2 linked regions of the Rhinolophus ferrumequinum genome follow. The protein of the gene in region 2 interacts with the protein of the main gene of each other region in a pairwise test. Links are inferred from orthologs where the notes say so. Each region holds a gene or a part of one and is shown on either strand. Other genes may lie near its edges.

Region 1 (7,873 bases), on a different chromosome or scaffold from region 2:
GCAAGTTCCTTCCTTCTTTCTTTCCTTCCTTCCTTCTTTCCTTCCTCCCTCCCTCCCTTCCTTCCTTCCTTCCTCCCTTCCTTCCTTCCTTCCTGCCTGCCTCCCTCCCTTCCTTCCTTCTTTCTTTCCTTCCTTCCTTCCTTCTTTCCTTCCTCCCTCCTTTCCTTCCTGCCTTCCTCCCTTCCTTCTTTCCTTCCTCCCTCCCTCCCTCTCTCCCTTCCTCCCTTCCTTCCTTCTCCTCTCCTTCCCTCCCTCTATCCCTCCCTCCCTCATTCCCTCCCTCTGTCCCTCCCTCCCTCCGTCTCTCCCTTCCTCATTCATTCAGCAAAGTCTGAGGGACTGCTTTGTGGCAGTGCTGAGTACAGAGGTAAAAGGGCATTTCAGACAAGAGAACTGGGCCCAGAAGTGTAGTGTGGTTGAACTGTGACAGTGACCGAGATGCTGCTGGCCTGGCAGGTGGGCGCCAGATCAGAAAGGACCACGTTAAGGAGCTAGAACCTGGTATAAATGGCTAGCCATTGAAGGATATTAAGCAGGGAACTGACATGAGGTCACATTTATACTTGTGCATAAAAAGAGTTATAGTAATACGGGTGCAATGCGGCAGGGCCAGCAGAGCTGTCTCAGACAGGTAAGGGGGGCCTGTTAGAGGAGAGGAGATTCCAGGGGCATTTGGGGGCTAAATTCATGTATGTGGTACATCTTGGGAGAATGTTCAGAGATTCTTTGCCACCGAAACTCAGGAGTGGAGGATAGCCTAGTGATTATCAGCTGGGGAGAATGAGGTCCAGCGTGAGTGACCAGCCAGGTAGAGGCCGACCTGAAACGAAGATCTAGATCCAACATGTTTTGATGTTCTGACTCCCCTTCTCTTTGTACCACAGGATCCAGCGCTGCCTCCCTTTACCCTGTGCTCAACTTTCTGCTCTATGTACCTGAGCTTGCCCACTCCCCTCTGTACATTCAGGACAAGGACGGGGCTCCAGTGGCCACCAACGCTTTTCACAGCCCCCGCTGGGGCGGCATTATGGTAATAGTCACAATGCAGACCCAGAGCCCAAGCTCCAGGGACAGACACATATTCCCTGAGATTATTCTCCTGTCATTCCTCTGGTGTCCTCCGTGGCCTAGCCTGGGGAGAGGCAGGGCACCTACGAGGTGAGGGTGCTGTGAGCTGTGCCCCTCCTCGGCCAGCCCCACTGCTGCTGCTTTCGTCAGTATTTCTCTAATGACCCTTAAGCAGTTTGCACTTACGGAGGACCCTTCTGTGTACATCATAGATCTTGGCCCTATTTGTGGGAGTCTTGCAAGGCTGGAAACTTCGTCTGCCCTGTTAGACTGGAAGTTTCTCAAGGGTAGGAACTCTAAAATGGAATAAAATGACCTCTTTTACAGGACTTTTGAGTGGGTAATGGAGATCATTTATGGAACGCTCCTAATCGGTATTCAAATAATAGTAGTATACCGTCAGGTTTGTCACTTCTAAAGAGCACAGACTATATCTTCCTTTTCTCTCATGGCCTCCAGAGCGTACAGGGCAGAGCTGTACACGGTGTGACACTGAGGCCACCTCATTTCCTGTTGCAGGTGTACAACGTGGACCCCAAAGCCTACAATGCCTCGGAGCTGCCGGTGAAAGTTGAGGTGGACATAGTGCGTGTGATGGAGGTGTTCCTTGCTCAGTTGCGGTGAGGTCCTGGGTGATCCCCTTGGGGGCCTGGCCCCTGACCCTACCACAGTCTCCTGGGCTGACTGGAATGACATCTCACCTAGCAGAGAGACGTTGGCTCTGCCTAGAGCCCGAGGAAACCAAGAAAGGTTTTCCAGAATCACTTCATCCTCCTAAGAACTAGTTGCTGACAAAAACTGCTTGAAGAAAAATAGACTCATGAATGTCAGGGAGTGTGATTAGGGGTGCTTAAGAAAAGAGCTGTTAATTCTTGTGTCAGCTGCCTGATCCCCTATGTTGAGGATTGTATGGCTGTGTCTGAGCTCATCAGGAAAGAGGATTCTGATTGATTAGCAACGTCTGCTCTGGGTGCAGGATGGGAGAGACGCAGCACGTATGTCTTGTCAGAGGTGGTCCTGGATCATCGCTTAACTAAGGCTCTATTGGCCCTAGTTGTCCGAAGAGAGGGTAGACAGGGTGAGAGGGGATTAAACCATGTTGGTGTTATCAAAAATGTTTTAGCCATGGAATCTTTTGTCAAACAAGATCTTGGAAATCCAATATAGAAACAGGTAAAAGCTGAAATACTGGTTAAAGCAGGGCTTGGGCACTGGATTGCTTAGTGTTGCCACTTACTCCCCAAGACCCTAAAGTACTTCCCTAAACCCCTGTGGGTCTGGATAAGATTGGAAATCTTTGTGGTTTTTGTAGGAGTCTTAGTCATTCTTCCACCTCCTAGTCTCAGCCCCTTTGACTTGACTTCACTGTTCCTACAGGCTGCTCTTTGGGATTGCTCAGCCCCAGGTGCCTCCAAAATGCCTGTTTTCCGGGCCTCAGAGTGAAGGGCTCATGGCCTGGGAGCTAGACCGGCTGCTCTGGGCTCGGTCAGTGGAGAACCTGGCCACAGCCACCACCACTCTTACTTCCCTGGCCCAGCTTCTGGGCAAGATCAGCAACATTGTCATCAAGGACGATGTGGCATCTGAGGTAAGCGGGCCAGGGATGGAGTCTGTGGCCCAGGATTGGGGTGGCCAGGGTGTGGTGAAACAGGCCCGTTCAAGTCCAGGGTATGTGTGGGCATGCCAGCCTTGAATGTCCCAGGCTTCCTCTAGAGGGCAGTGCCAGCCCCTCTGCAGGAGTCCAGAGGGGGTGGTGGGGTGAGGTTTTAAGCAGGCACTCAGAAAATACACCATAACCCTGTTATACTGGCCTCCGTATATCCTGGGCGAGTTCCAGGCAACCTGTCTGCTAGATGGAAGACACGGTAAGGCCCATCACCCCGCACTCCGCTTCTCCAATGCCTCGGACTAATTGGTAATCCCCTGCCCCCTCCTAGGTGTACAAGGCTGTAGCTGCAGTCCAGAAGGCAGCGGAGGAGTTGGCCTCTGGGCATCTGGCCTCTGCCTTCGTTGCCAGCCAGGAAGCTGTGACGTCCTCAGAGCGTGCCTTTTTTGATCCATCCCTTCTCCACCTCCTCTATTTCCCTGATGACCAGAAGTTTGCCATCTACATCCCGCTCTTCCTGCCTATGGCTGTGCCCATCCTCCTGTCTCTGGTCAAGATCTTCCTGGAGACCCGCAAGTCCTGGAAAAAGCCCGAGAAGACAGACTGAGCAGGGCAGCATCTCAGTAGGAAGCCTTTCCTTCTGGCCAAGGCGGGAGCTGTTAGACTGAGGGGCCTGCCATGAATGACTCTTCCCAGCCTCCTCTGTTGCCTCTCCAGCAACCAAAATATAACACTCGAAGATGGGTTCATCTTCCCTTCCCTTTCCATTCTTCTGGCTCATGTGTCCCCACCCCCATCCTCACAAGACGTATCATCTGGGTCTCCTTACCTGGCTTGAACCTGAAGGCCCTTTTCTATCTCCCTCTGGGGCAGCGGCAGCTTGTGCTCTGCCCTGGTCCTCAGAGTCCTCTTGCACTGACAGGGAGCATTAGGGGAAAACCTAGGTTGGTCTCTAGCCCCTCCCCGCCACACTTCTCTGTGACCCCTCAGGGAGAGCCCTAGCTCTGCTCTCATGGAAGGAGCCAGGTACAGGTCACCTCCAGCCGCTTCTCCCTTACTCTCCTCCCTCCTGGCTAGCTACTCCTGTTGGGTACAGCCTGGTGCTGTGTGTGTGGTAGAGGTTCCCTTCCCCCTTTCATAGAGGCAGTGTGATGCAGTGGAGAAAGTTCTAGACTTGGGATCAAATATGCCTGAATTCAAATCCTTGCTTCTGCACTTGTCATCTGGGGAGCTTTGAATAAGCTACTTAATCTCTCTGAGCCTCAGTTTTTCATTTGTTAAAACAGCACTAATGATACCTCTCTTACAAGGTGGTTGTGAGGATTAAATGTGATAAGCATTTGAAAATGTCTGGCATATTCCAGGCTCTCAATAAACACTGAATGTGAATTGGTACTTACCTTTTGTTCTTTATTCATGTGTAAGCAGTGGTTTCCTAGCATCTGTCCTCCTGGGCTCACAGGTCCACCCTGCTTCCACCTGGCATGTGCCCTTCCTGCCTCCCTGTCCTGGGGACCCTGTGGTGGCTTAGACACCGAGGCGGTTGTCCCTCAGCATGTCCTGGTTTGCCCAGCGAGGCTGCTAACATCCAGTTCTGCTTTTTAGCGCAGAGTCTGGGAGAGAATAGCTTGTACCAGTGGAAGCCCTCAGATACTAACTCATTCACAAATGGAAAAAAAGAATATATTGAGCAAGGGCTGCAACAGGCACTGTGCGAGGTGCTGGGATATTATAGAGAACACATAGGATCCCTGCTTTCCCAGAACTGATCTTTTAGGGGGCAGAGTCGTGAACAAGTAAAACTAATTTCAGATAATGCATTAAAAAGGAAAAACAGGCTGATCAGATAGTGACTGGGGTTAGTCCTTTAGATTGGGTGTGAGGCGGAGCCTTTGAGCAAGTGACATTTGAGCTGAGACTAGGACAGGGTGGGGAAGAGCATCCCAGGAGAAGACCCTGAGATGCGAACTCGCTTGCGGGGCAGAGTGGCCAGAGCACAGAAGAGGTAGCCAGGACCCCTTGAAAAAAATGAATGAAGCCCAGAGCGAGCCCTCACCCTACGCAGGGTGACTACCCCAGGTCAGTGCGCCCGCAGCTTTTCAGCTGGGGTGGGCTGGCGGTGGGCGGGGCCAGGGGCGGGGCGGGGCGGTACCTGGGGCTCCGGCCGGGGGTGGGGCTGCGGACGCTCCCCCTTCTCCGCTCCAGCCGGCGCAGGCAGCGGCGGCGGCAGCAGGCGAGCCGCGGCCCCGCGAGGCCATGAAGGTGAAGAAGGGCGGCGGCGGGTCCGGGACGGGGGCGGAGCCCACTCCGGGGGCCTCGGGCCTGAGCGTGGAGCCCAAGCCCGACCCGCGGCCGCAGGCGGAATCCGAATCCGGGTCCGAGTCAGAACCGGAGGCAGGCCCGGGGCCCAGGCTGGGGCCGCTGCAGAGGAAGCAGACGATCGGGCCGGAGGACGTGCTAGGGCTGCAGCGGATCACCGGCGGTGAGCACCGGCGAGGGAGCGCCGCCCGCGGGAAGGAGGGGGCCGGCGCGGCGCGCGAAGCCCCGGCCCCCGCCCCCCTTCCCGCCCTCCCCCTGCCTCCCCTCCCCCACCGGGGTACCCTCGTCTGTGTCCCCTACCCTCTTGCCTCCAAGCCTGAGATCTCCATGTCCCCTCTTCCCCCGATCTCCTGTGCCCCTCCTTTAGTGATTTATTTCCACCCCGCTCATTTTTGAGGAGTCCATCCCTCTTTCTCGTGGTGGAGGTGGGGCAGCAGCTGCAACTGTGACCCTTTCCCCATGGAGTTTTCAGAGCCCTTTGAGGCCTTTCTCTGCAGTAACGAGGAGGGGCGCTGAGTGCAGTCTGTCCCCATTCCCCACCCTGGAGGCTAGGAGGAGGCTGAGTTACATTAAAACCCTTAGGTCTCTCTGACCGTTAATGCCCTCACCCTGGATCCCCCAGGAAGTTTGGGGCCATCTCCCTCCCCAAGAAAGGACCTGAGCAGGAATCTTCATTGAGTTGGCTCTGGGCCCTCTCAAGGGAGTGGGTTAATGCCCGCCTTAGCCTGGACTAGGGCCTGTCCCCTTCCAGGAGGCCTAGAAGGTCTCCACTGTGGTTGAGTTTCTGAGCTGGACTGCCTGGGTTGAAGTCCCAGCTTTGCCATGTAATTAGCTGTGTGACCTTGGGCAAGTTACTTCACCTCTCTGAACATGTTCATCTGTAAAATGGGGATAATGACACCTACCTTATAGAGCTACTGTGAAAATAAATTCTGATTATTGCACAGTGCCTGGCATGCTGTGCATGCTCTGTAAATAGGGCTCTTTTATGAGTAATACTGAAGGCCCCACAGGACTGTTCATGGCTGCTGCCTGGAAGCAGACAACTGGGCATTCAGGGCAGGAGAGGCGGTCAGCATCGTCAGGGAACAAGGACTGGGAAGCCTCATGGCAGAGGTGGTGGCTGAGCCTCAAAGAACAGAAAGCATTTGGAGAGGCAGTGGCTCTCTACCTTGGCCTCATTCATCAGTGACCCTGTCCTGGCTCCCTCTGTGAGAGCAACTCTTGGGGCCTCTCTGTGGGGGTGGGGGTGCTAGAGTAGACTTGAGCTCTGGAGCTGCAAGAGCAGCAGAGCCCAGGGCTGCCAGACAGAACCATGGAAGGGACCATGATGGCAGGGCTAGGCCTGTACATCTGGGTCTCTGGGGGACCAACTTCTCCCTCCTCTCTGAGCTAGGCAGCCGCCATTCTTGGCTGGGCCCCCAGAGTGTTGAGCTGCCTTGCCCAAGCAGACACGGGTAGGGGGAGGGGGCCTGGACCAGTCTAATGTTGGTGCCAGTTAGGCTGTAATTGTCAACAGCAGCATTTAGGATTCAGGTTAGCTCTGGGGCAGAACTTCCTTATAGGATATCTGGGGGTTAGGACAACCTATCCAGGTCCTAGGTCACTTTAGAGGTTATTTTGCAAATATGGGGAGTTCTAGCCGACATACCACCATATATTTCCTAATTTGGAGGAAATTCATAACCCTTAAAGATGGATATCTGTGGGTGGTGAATAGGGGAAGGGGTTTCATAGGAGCCCTTTCCTCTGTAGAAATTGAGAACAGGGTGCCAGAGCTTTCCACCCTGGCACCTCTTGGTCTCTTCTGACCCTAATCACATAGGTCTGAGGTTTGCTTCTCCTGGATTACTGGACCATGAATCCTGCTTTGGAAGCTATTTGTGGCAGAGGGGAAGGGAGCAGTTGTATTCTGAGCCCTTGGCTACTGCCCCTGGGTTCCAGGCCTTGTCCTTCCCTGGCAGAAGGGAGGGAGTGGCTGTGGTGTCCTGAGCCGTTGGCATCCCCCATTCCTCACTCCCTCTAAGGACAGAGGGATTGATAGGTTGAGTTTGCAGCAGAAGAGACTGAGGTCAGACTGCGAGAAGTTGTTTCCAAATGAGAGAAGCTCCAAAAGTTGGAGACTGGAGGGAGGGGGGCTTTACAGGGAGCTGGGATCCTGCCCCCGGTTCTGCCACCTCCTTTCCCTGTGCCCTGCACCTTCTTTCTACATCTTTGGACTGGTGTTTACTTTCTGTGAAAATAAGGGTGAAGTAGGGGCTGTCCGCTTCCGTTCCTACTGCCCTCTCCCTACCATGGGCTGTGGTGGACCCTCCAGGGCTCAGGCCTCTCCCCAAGCGCTATGTCATCCCTGCTGGACCCCAGGGTGCTAGGTGGCTGCCTGGAGGCCTTCCTGGAGGGGGTTGCCCCGGGCTTGGGGAAGAGAGAATGACTTTACATTTACTTCCTCTTCCTGCCCCAGAGGAATAGGAGGTGGCTTAGGGGCCTGGAGGGTGATTTCCGGGCCTCTATGGGGAGGATGTGAAGCTGTGCAGGCTGACAGCACCAGAGCCCCTCACTGCCTCTCTCTGCTCCTTCCTATTTGTTGCCAGGGCCTCCGTGACCACTTGCAGTTGCTGCTACAAAAGCAGTGAGGGTTGGCTCAGGCCCTCATATTCCTGGGCTTCCTCAGGTGGGGTTCACCACTGTTCCCGGTTCCCCTTCTGGGCACTGAGGACTCCCAGATACCCCTATGCACACCCCCTGTTGCACCTGCCACACCCTCTTCCTGTCCTCCCTGTACATATTCTCTCTGGGAGTGGCTCAGAGCCAAGGCTGGGTAGATGACCTTTCAAGGGGTTCCCTCTATTTGCTAAGACTTCCTCCCATTTGGAGATCAAC
Region 2 (7,395 bases):
AAATTATCATTATCTCCCTGAACTGAAATCAATAAAAACCCTACCTTAAATATTAAGGCACTATCCCTGTCCCTCAACTTATCTGTCACCTCTCATTGAGAATATTTCTTTTCCATTAGGAAATCAACAGCAAGTTCTAAAATCAGGGCTTCATCATTTGTTTTAATGCCACAATCCTATTAAAAGCTGTTAAAAATAGCACCTCTACCTTTCTCTCATTTCTCTTCCTTTCTATTCTCCTCCAAATAACAAAGATTAAGTGATGACATCCAGTCCAAAGAACAATGGACAATACATACACACACAAAGCTTCCTCTTCCAGCTTCCAACAACAACAACTAAGTCTAACACCTGTTAAAAGGAAAAATGAAGGAAAGATGGCACACCATTATTCTTATCAAGTTCATGGACAGGGTGCTTACTCTAGTCCACAAGCTCAGCAAAATCTGAGAGTCAAACTCAGAATGAAAGGAACATTTTTTTTTTTCTGGAAGGCAAGTAAAAATAACTTAGGAATTGATTTGTTTTAAAAATAAGACCCCAAATACAGTCAACAAAAGTGACTTTCATTTTTCAGAAACAGGTTTTTAATAAACACCATATAAAGATTATGTATAAGAAAACAAGTCAATCTGACAGGCAAGAAGGAAGGAATGATGTGTGGCATACCATTTTCTCTGCGAGTAGATAAGCAAAAAGTAAACACAAAAGACAACCTCAAGAGGTTTTGTGTGTGTGTTTTTTCAGTCCAGTTTCAGTAAAAAACTGAACTTAATGTTCAAGGATTTCAAATCTTGTCACAGGGGATACTTGGCACACACAAAAACTGATTTATTTCCTTTAAGATTTTTTTTCCTCACCTCAAAAGACTAGTCAATGATTTTTATGGGGCTGTTTCACTGCACATGTGAATTATTTAAGAGTATAGTTAAAGTGACCAAATAATGATTTTTTTTATACCAACGCAATAGGGCGACAGGGAGGGATAGATATAAAAACAAAAAGGCCATGTCAAATTTGAGGCCCACTGATTTTGACACAAAACTGTTAGTAAATTAACAAAGAAATTTATCTGCTTTTAAGGTAGCCTAAAGTCCCACACACATTCACCCACCCACCCTTAGACTCTCCATCTAGAAATTAATCTGAGTTTTCAATTTTTTTTCTCACTAAATGCTTTAGTGGGTTTGGCACCTCAAAGACAGCTTTATAATGCAATTTGTAAATTTAAAACTCATTCAGTAAATAAAGAAAATACTGTAATAAAATGATCAGAACTACCTGACTCCTTTTTAGGCACTACTTAAGTATCCAAAATTAGTTTTCAATAGTACAGGTAATGCTACCCTTTCCTACTTGGCAATTATCCTCAACAAACTTTGGCTTTAATATGGGCTACTGTAAGAAAATCCATAGTACTGTATTTATAAGACAAGCTACAAAATAATCAGTTATTTAATTTAGAAAATAATCTTTGAAAAATGTTTGGTAACCCTCTTAACCTACAAAGCACTCTGCATTTTAAAACACACAATCAGATAATCCCTTAACTGGCTCCAGGTGTGGGTGGATAATGTCCCTTTATCACCAAAGATAGAGGAAGTTACTGACATCAGCAAATGAACAACAAAACAATTTGAACTCAGAATTTTTTACTCCGCTCCATTCACAAGGTCATGTATTAACTGCAATCAGCACCCTTCCCCACACAATCATCAAACCTTGAAGCTTTAGGAGAAACATTTCCTTCATGTAAAAAGCCCAAATACAAGATAACATGACAAACTACTCCTTGTCCAGCGTCTCTTGATCATGAAAGCATTCAATCTTTCTTAATACAGCGTTAAGTGTAATTCCTAGAAGGCACTGGAAAATCTCTGCCAGGCCAATCTACAGTCGAAAACCGCCTGAATGTGTCGGGCAAGATGACAGGAGGGTAATGTTTTGAACCATCTTTAATATGTATGGCAATAGCGGTTCCGGCTAACAAGGTAAACCTGGTCATTGCATAGGATCGAAAGGAACCAATGTCAAATCAGGATCCCCTTGAACACAAACATGCAGCTCTGGGGGAATATATACTTTCTGCAAGAATATATTCTTTCTGGAACAATACAAGGTGCTTGCATAATTACACACACACACGTCTATTTTTAAAATAATGTTCAGTCCCAACATTGTGCTGACACTTTTTCCATCTAAACTTCTCAGCACAAGCCTGGCCTAAACATGCAACTAACTGGTATCCAATGCATGCACATGGTAAACGAGGCATGCAACCACGACCGTAACGGTGGGGCAATACCTGCCCCTACCCAGTCCTGTTCTGGCCAGGCTGCGATGCAGTTTAGTCCCGTGTACTTTATGGTAATGTGCTTTTAAAACCTCGCCGCGACCGAGGTCATAGCTTTAGAGATCTAATAACAACCAAATGACCGGGGCTGCCGGGCACTTAGTGAGCCATTCTGGTTATGGCTCTTTAATAGTACCTGGAGTTCTGCTAAAGGGAGAGCGGAAAACTCCTGCTTCCCCAGAAAGAAAGTGCTTTGCGGGGAGCACAGGGGGAAGCAAAGAAGTCGATCGCGGGCAGGGGACGCCCGGCCGCCGCGGCCCCATCTCTCCCGCAGCCCCAGCCAGCCCCTCGCCCCGCAGGGAGGCTGATCCGGCTTGCACCTTTACCTGTCAGCTCTACCACCCCTTCCGCCCGCCCCTCCGAATCCCCCGCACAGTTCTAGAGCCGGCTGCGGGAGAAAGAACCCCAAGGCATCCTATCCCAAAGAAAGAAAGCAAAAAGGCTGTTCCTCCAGGCGGGGGACAGTAGGCACATCGGGGTCCGAGAGGCGACACGCCACCCCCTCCCCACACCTACCAGATAATCCATGTACAGAAACGCCTCAGTTATCTGGAGATCAGTCATCCGGCAGCCTAAAGCATCCGGAACGGCTCCGAACCCGGAAAAAAAAGCAGCGTCTCTGGCTGCGAGCGAGCAGTCCCTGAAAAAGCCAGCAACGACGAATATAGCCGAGAGCAGCCGAGTAGCCGAAGATTACACAAGGGGAGCGGCGATTGGCCGGGAGGGCGGGCAGAAGAAAAGGAGAGCGCTTATTGGCTGTGGCGCCTATAAAATGCAGGCCACTGCGGGTGGCAGGAGAGAAGCGCGGGAGCGTCGAGGGCCCTGGTTCCTGTGAAGAGGGCGGAGGGGCGGGAGCTGGGGCGGCGCAGGCGGAAGAGCGAGCAGGGAAGAGCGGAAAATCGGCGGGTGCCGCTGCCTCCGGAGTTCTGTGCTTCCATAGTGTCCTAACTGGGTAGAGCGGAGCAGAGCTGCTCCAGTGCTGGAGAGCGTTAATGTCCCCTCCCACTCCCCACCCCCGGGAGGAAGCTAGAGCCGAAACGCCGGAGGAGTGGTAACCACTGACACTTAGTGTCCCTCTTCGGAGCTATTTCCTGAAGGTTCTGCAGCCTCGAGACGGCCCCACGGGGACCCTCGAAGTGTGTAGGACAGTATGCTGAACTGGCAAGCCTGTGACTCGGGGACGGCCCCTCCCCACCTTCAATTAGATGTGAAACTGAGAAGGCGGACAGCTCCAGCCTGATGTCCCTGGGGTGACAGAGAAGCCCCCGACACGGCCAGAGGTAATCCAGGAGGCTACCTCTAATCAGATTGCCCCTGCAGAATTCGCTCTCCACCACGTGAAAGGCAAAGAAAACCAGCTGGGGAACTTGGTAGAGTTGATTGTAGACCTCCAACACTTGGGAAGAAGAAACTGGTCAGTTAATTGCATGTTTTGAGTCCCAATTACACTGAGCACAAATCATCGGCTCTGAAGAAAATGAGCAATAGAATGAGAAGCTCTCTGAAAAGACCCAAGTTATAAAGTATTTGTGACCCGTTGTCATTGTAAGAGGTAAAAATATCTATGAGCAGGTGCACCTGAGACCTGGTAAAAAAACAAAACAAAAAAAAACTGGGAAATCGGCAGAGATTCCACTATTAAGTTTGGAGCATTAAGTTTGGGGAGGAGGAAAGCTGGATAAGAACACTCAAGGCTCGCTTATTTTATTTATTTATTTATTTATTTATTTATTTATTTATTTATTTATTTATTTATGACAGAGGCTATGAATAACCAATTCAACAACAACAACAATGCCAGCCATATCTATGGTATCAGGCTCAGGTGACTGACGTGCCCCCCCACAGGTTAAGGAGGATGAGGGATTGCTCTCACATATTATTGGGGCTTCCATACAATAACGTTTCAAGAGTGAAACTTGAACTTAAATCTTTCTGAAGCGACTACCTAACTGGTATAAAAGTTGTTTTAGGAGTTGGATTTTTATTTTCCCTCAACTTGGCAGCTTTCTCTTTTGTATCCTCAGGAATGAATTTTTATACAATAAGCTTACCTGGGGCCACCAAAACCGTTCTATTAGATAACAGTGGAATTCACTCTAAATATGTACAAACCAGGAACAGAAGGGAGTGTGGCTGTTCAGTGGGAGCTCCAGGTGGTGAGCCATGAGGTTTTGGGTATCCTATCTCATCTTGCAGCTGAGAAATGAGAATTCCTATGGCTAGAGGGTTTTTTGAAGGAACTTATTAGTACAGAGCTTGATTTTGCTCATCTAATTTACAGACAAGGGATGTGTATAAACATTTCTAAAGAAATTTCAATGAGTTTTTGCCTATGCAGAAGCTAACTAGACTCAATTGCATTATGTCATTAGATCCAATTTTGATTTTTCTTAGCATTCTAGGTCAAACACGTGTAGGTTTAGAAGAGATTTTGACCTGGATTCTGGAGGTGAAGAACTTCCATAAACCAATAGCACAATTGCTTGAAACTAATTGCAGAAGTTAAAATCCTCTCAAACTTGCTAGCAAAAATAATTCAAATAGACAAGGAAACTTGTTTTTGTTTGTTTGTTTGCCTTCTTTCCATGCATAAGCATATTGCAAATAAGATAGAGCTTGAATTAGCAAAGAGACACTTTTTGGCCCATTTTCTTAGTGATAAATGATGTCTTCACGACTGCCAAGTCAGACTCCTCAGAGGCCTGTCAGTTTCTATGCAGGGGAAGAAAATCACCCAGGAGCAGTTGGCTCTGCCCTTCCTTTAAAAGCTAACCTTAGAGAAAGTCCTGAACAGAAGGTCATTAGGCTAAACATGGTCACTCTGCCTTTAGGAATTAGTAAATGGGTCCAAAGCAGAGAGATGGAAAAGTTCCAAAGGCTGCACCATAGTACCCTCCCTGTTCCACACCATTTGCACATTCGTTATAACTGGCACCAAGGAAAACCTTGTGTTTACTGTAATATAATAAAAGAATCATGTATTGCCTTTTGGAAAAGAGTCCTTAGGAAGGAAAACACACACACACACACACACACACACACACACCCCCCAAAACCTGAAGCTTCAGAACTCCCTAAGGAGCACATTCTTCTAATTAGATGTTAATCTTCTGGGATGTTAATATGTCCACTCTTGTGCAGAAGAGGCCAACTTCTAGATTTTGCTGGTATAAATAGATAATACACCACGCATTACATGAAGCTGAAGTCATAAAGTTGGTAGCAATAGCAGTAATCCTCCCAATTTGTGCTTTTAAGAAGAGAGTGTTGAGAGGTGAGAATGCATTCATTCAACCTATCCCACTATATGCCAAGTAACAGACTGCAGTCTTGAATAAACATGATCTCATTAATGTAGTCCGGCCTTTGCTCTCTTCCAGATGCATAAGAAAACATGTATAAACTCATGAGGTAATTGCATTACTATACAAGTTGAGGATAGAGGCCCTCACTGTCGCTTGTCAAAAGCAAGGAGAAATTCTTTCGCCAGTCTATACTCTACAATTCCATAAACAACACTGGAGGAAATTTTTTGTAAAAGTGTTTCTTGTAGGAAACAAAAACAGAAATGCATTTTTGCAACTTGGTCTCCCAAATTCTACCATCCAGAAAAACCAACATGTTAGTGACTATTTCCATTTACTCCTTTTTTGTTGTTCATTTGATACATCATAAATTTGGGAAGAATACTCTCTCTGCTAGTTTTGTATCATGCATGCTGAATATATAAAGTTCACCATATCATGAAAGTCTTCATAAATGTTTAAATGGCTATATAAAGCTCTATTGTATAAATGTGCTATGTTAACAAATCCTGTTATATATTACTGTTATAAATACTGCCGTGAATGGTTGCTTATTAAATTGTTCACATCTCAGTATTCTAGAGAAAATGTCTAGAAATGGAATTACTGGTACAAAGGGTACAATACTTTTAATACTCATTTTGTACTAGTTTATACTCATTTCCCCACCCTGGCCCCAGAGTGCTTATCTTGCCTCATTCTTGCCTTGACTGAATATATTATTCCTTAATTGCTAAGGGATGGAATCTTTCATCAGAGTAACTTTTAAACCATGGACAATGGTTTCAGAAAAAGTGGAGGTGTCAACACACTGAAATCTGCACAGGTCATCAGGTACTTTGTTTGCTCACTTACTGCTCCAATAACCCCTGTGACCTTAAAATTCTCTTCTGAGCCCTTTGCAGGGCCTTGACCTCCCAACATCTGATTTACCCCAGTCCCCTTCCCTATTTCCTAAACCTAAACAAAGTACCACTGTATCTTATAAGATGAACCTCACCAGAGCAGAGTGACCACACATGAAGCTACTAACAGAACTTGGTTCATAAACGGAAGAGATCAGAATGTGATTGGGAGAGCAAGGACTTAACCTACAAAGATAACTCACCTCTTCCAAAATGGATTTACTGGGTCTTGGAATACTAAAGCCAAGATAAGGCATTTAAAATGAATCACCACTGAGAGTGACAAATAATTATACCAGGAAAATATAACTAGACCTCACAAGCAACGACTTGTTCAAGCACCAAATATCAAGAAGCTGTGCAAATCCCTCTCAATATTTCCCAGGATCATTTACTCTCTTAGACACGCTACTGCATTGCTGATTATATTAATATTAGTTTCCTATTGCCACTGTACAAATTACCACCAAGTTAATGTCTTAAATTTATTCTCTTACAGTTCTGCAAGCCAGAAGAAGTCCTGAGTTTTATGGAGCTAAAATCAAGGTGTTAGCAGGCTGGTTCCTTCTGCAGGTCCCAAGGGAGAATTCCTTCCTTGTCTTTTCCAGCTTCTGGTGGCTGTCTGCATTCCTTGGCTTGTGGTCGCATCACTCCAGTCTCTGCCTCTGTGGTCACATGGCCTTCTCCTCGTCTGTAGTCTGTCCTCCTTCTGCCTCCCTCTTATAAGGATAATTGTGATTGCATTTGGGGCCTACCCAGATAATGCTGGATAATCTCACCACCTCAAAATCCTTAATTTGTCACATCTGCAAAGTCACTCGTGCCATAT

Evidence for each region.
Region 1: the proteins of ARL15 (region 2) and UNC119 interact in binary tests that used the Homo sapiens proteins (3 or more experiments, as listed by UniProt). The link is inferred for Rhinolophus ferrumequinum from reciprocal best matches to the Homo sapiens genes ARL15 and UNC119.

The regions. Positions count from the first base shown.
Region 1 is NC_046304.1:18,870,488-18,878,360, forward strand, and holds the start of UNC119 (protein unc-119 homolog A), read left to right. Parts: upstream 1-4,859; 5' UTR 4,860-4,930; coding exon 4,931-5,156; intron 5,157-7,873. Other genes in the region: PIGS (GPI transamidase component PIG-S), read left to right, coding at 885-1,030, 1,588-1,688, 2,446-2,656, 3,006-3,281. UniProt on the Homo sapiens protein: Involved in synaptic functions in photoreceptor cells, the signal transduction in immune cells as a Src family kinase activator, endosome recycling, the uptake of bacteria and endocytosis, protein trafficking in sensory neurons and as lipid-binding chaperone with specificity for a diverse subset of myristoylated proteins.
Region 2 is NC_046290.1:33,675,323-33,682,717, forward strand, and holds the start of ARL15 (ADP-ribosylation factor-like protein 15), read right to left. Parts: upstream 3,012-7,395; 5' UTR 2,918-3,011; coding exon 2,870-2,917; intron 1-2,869.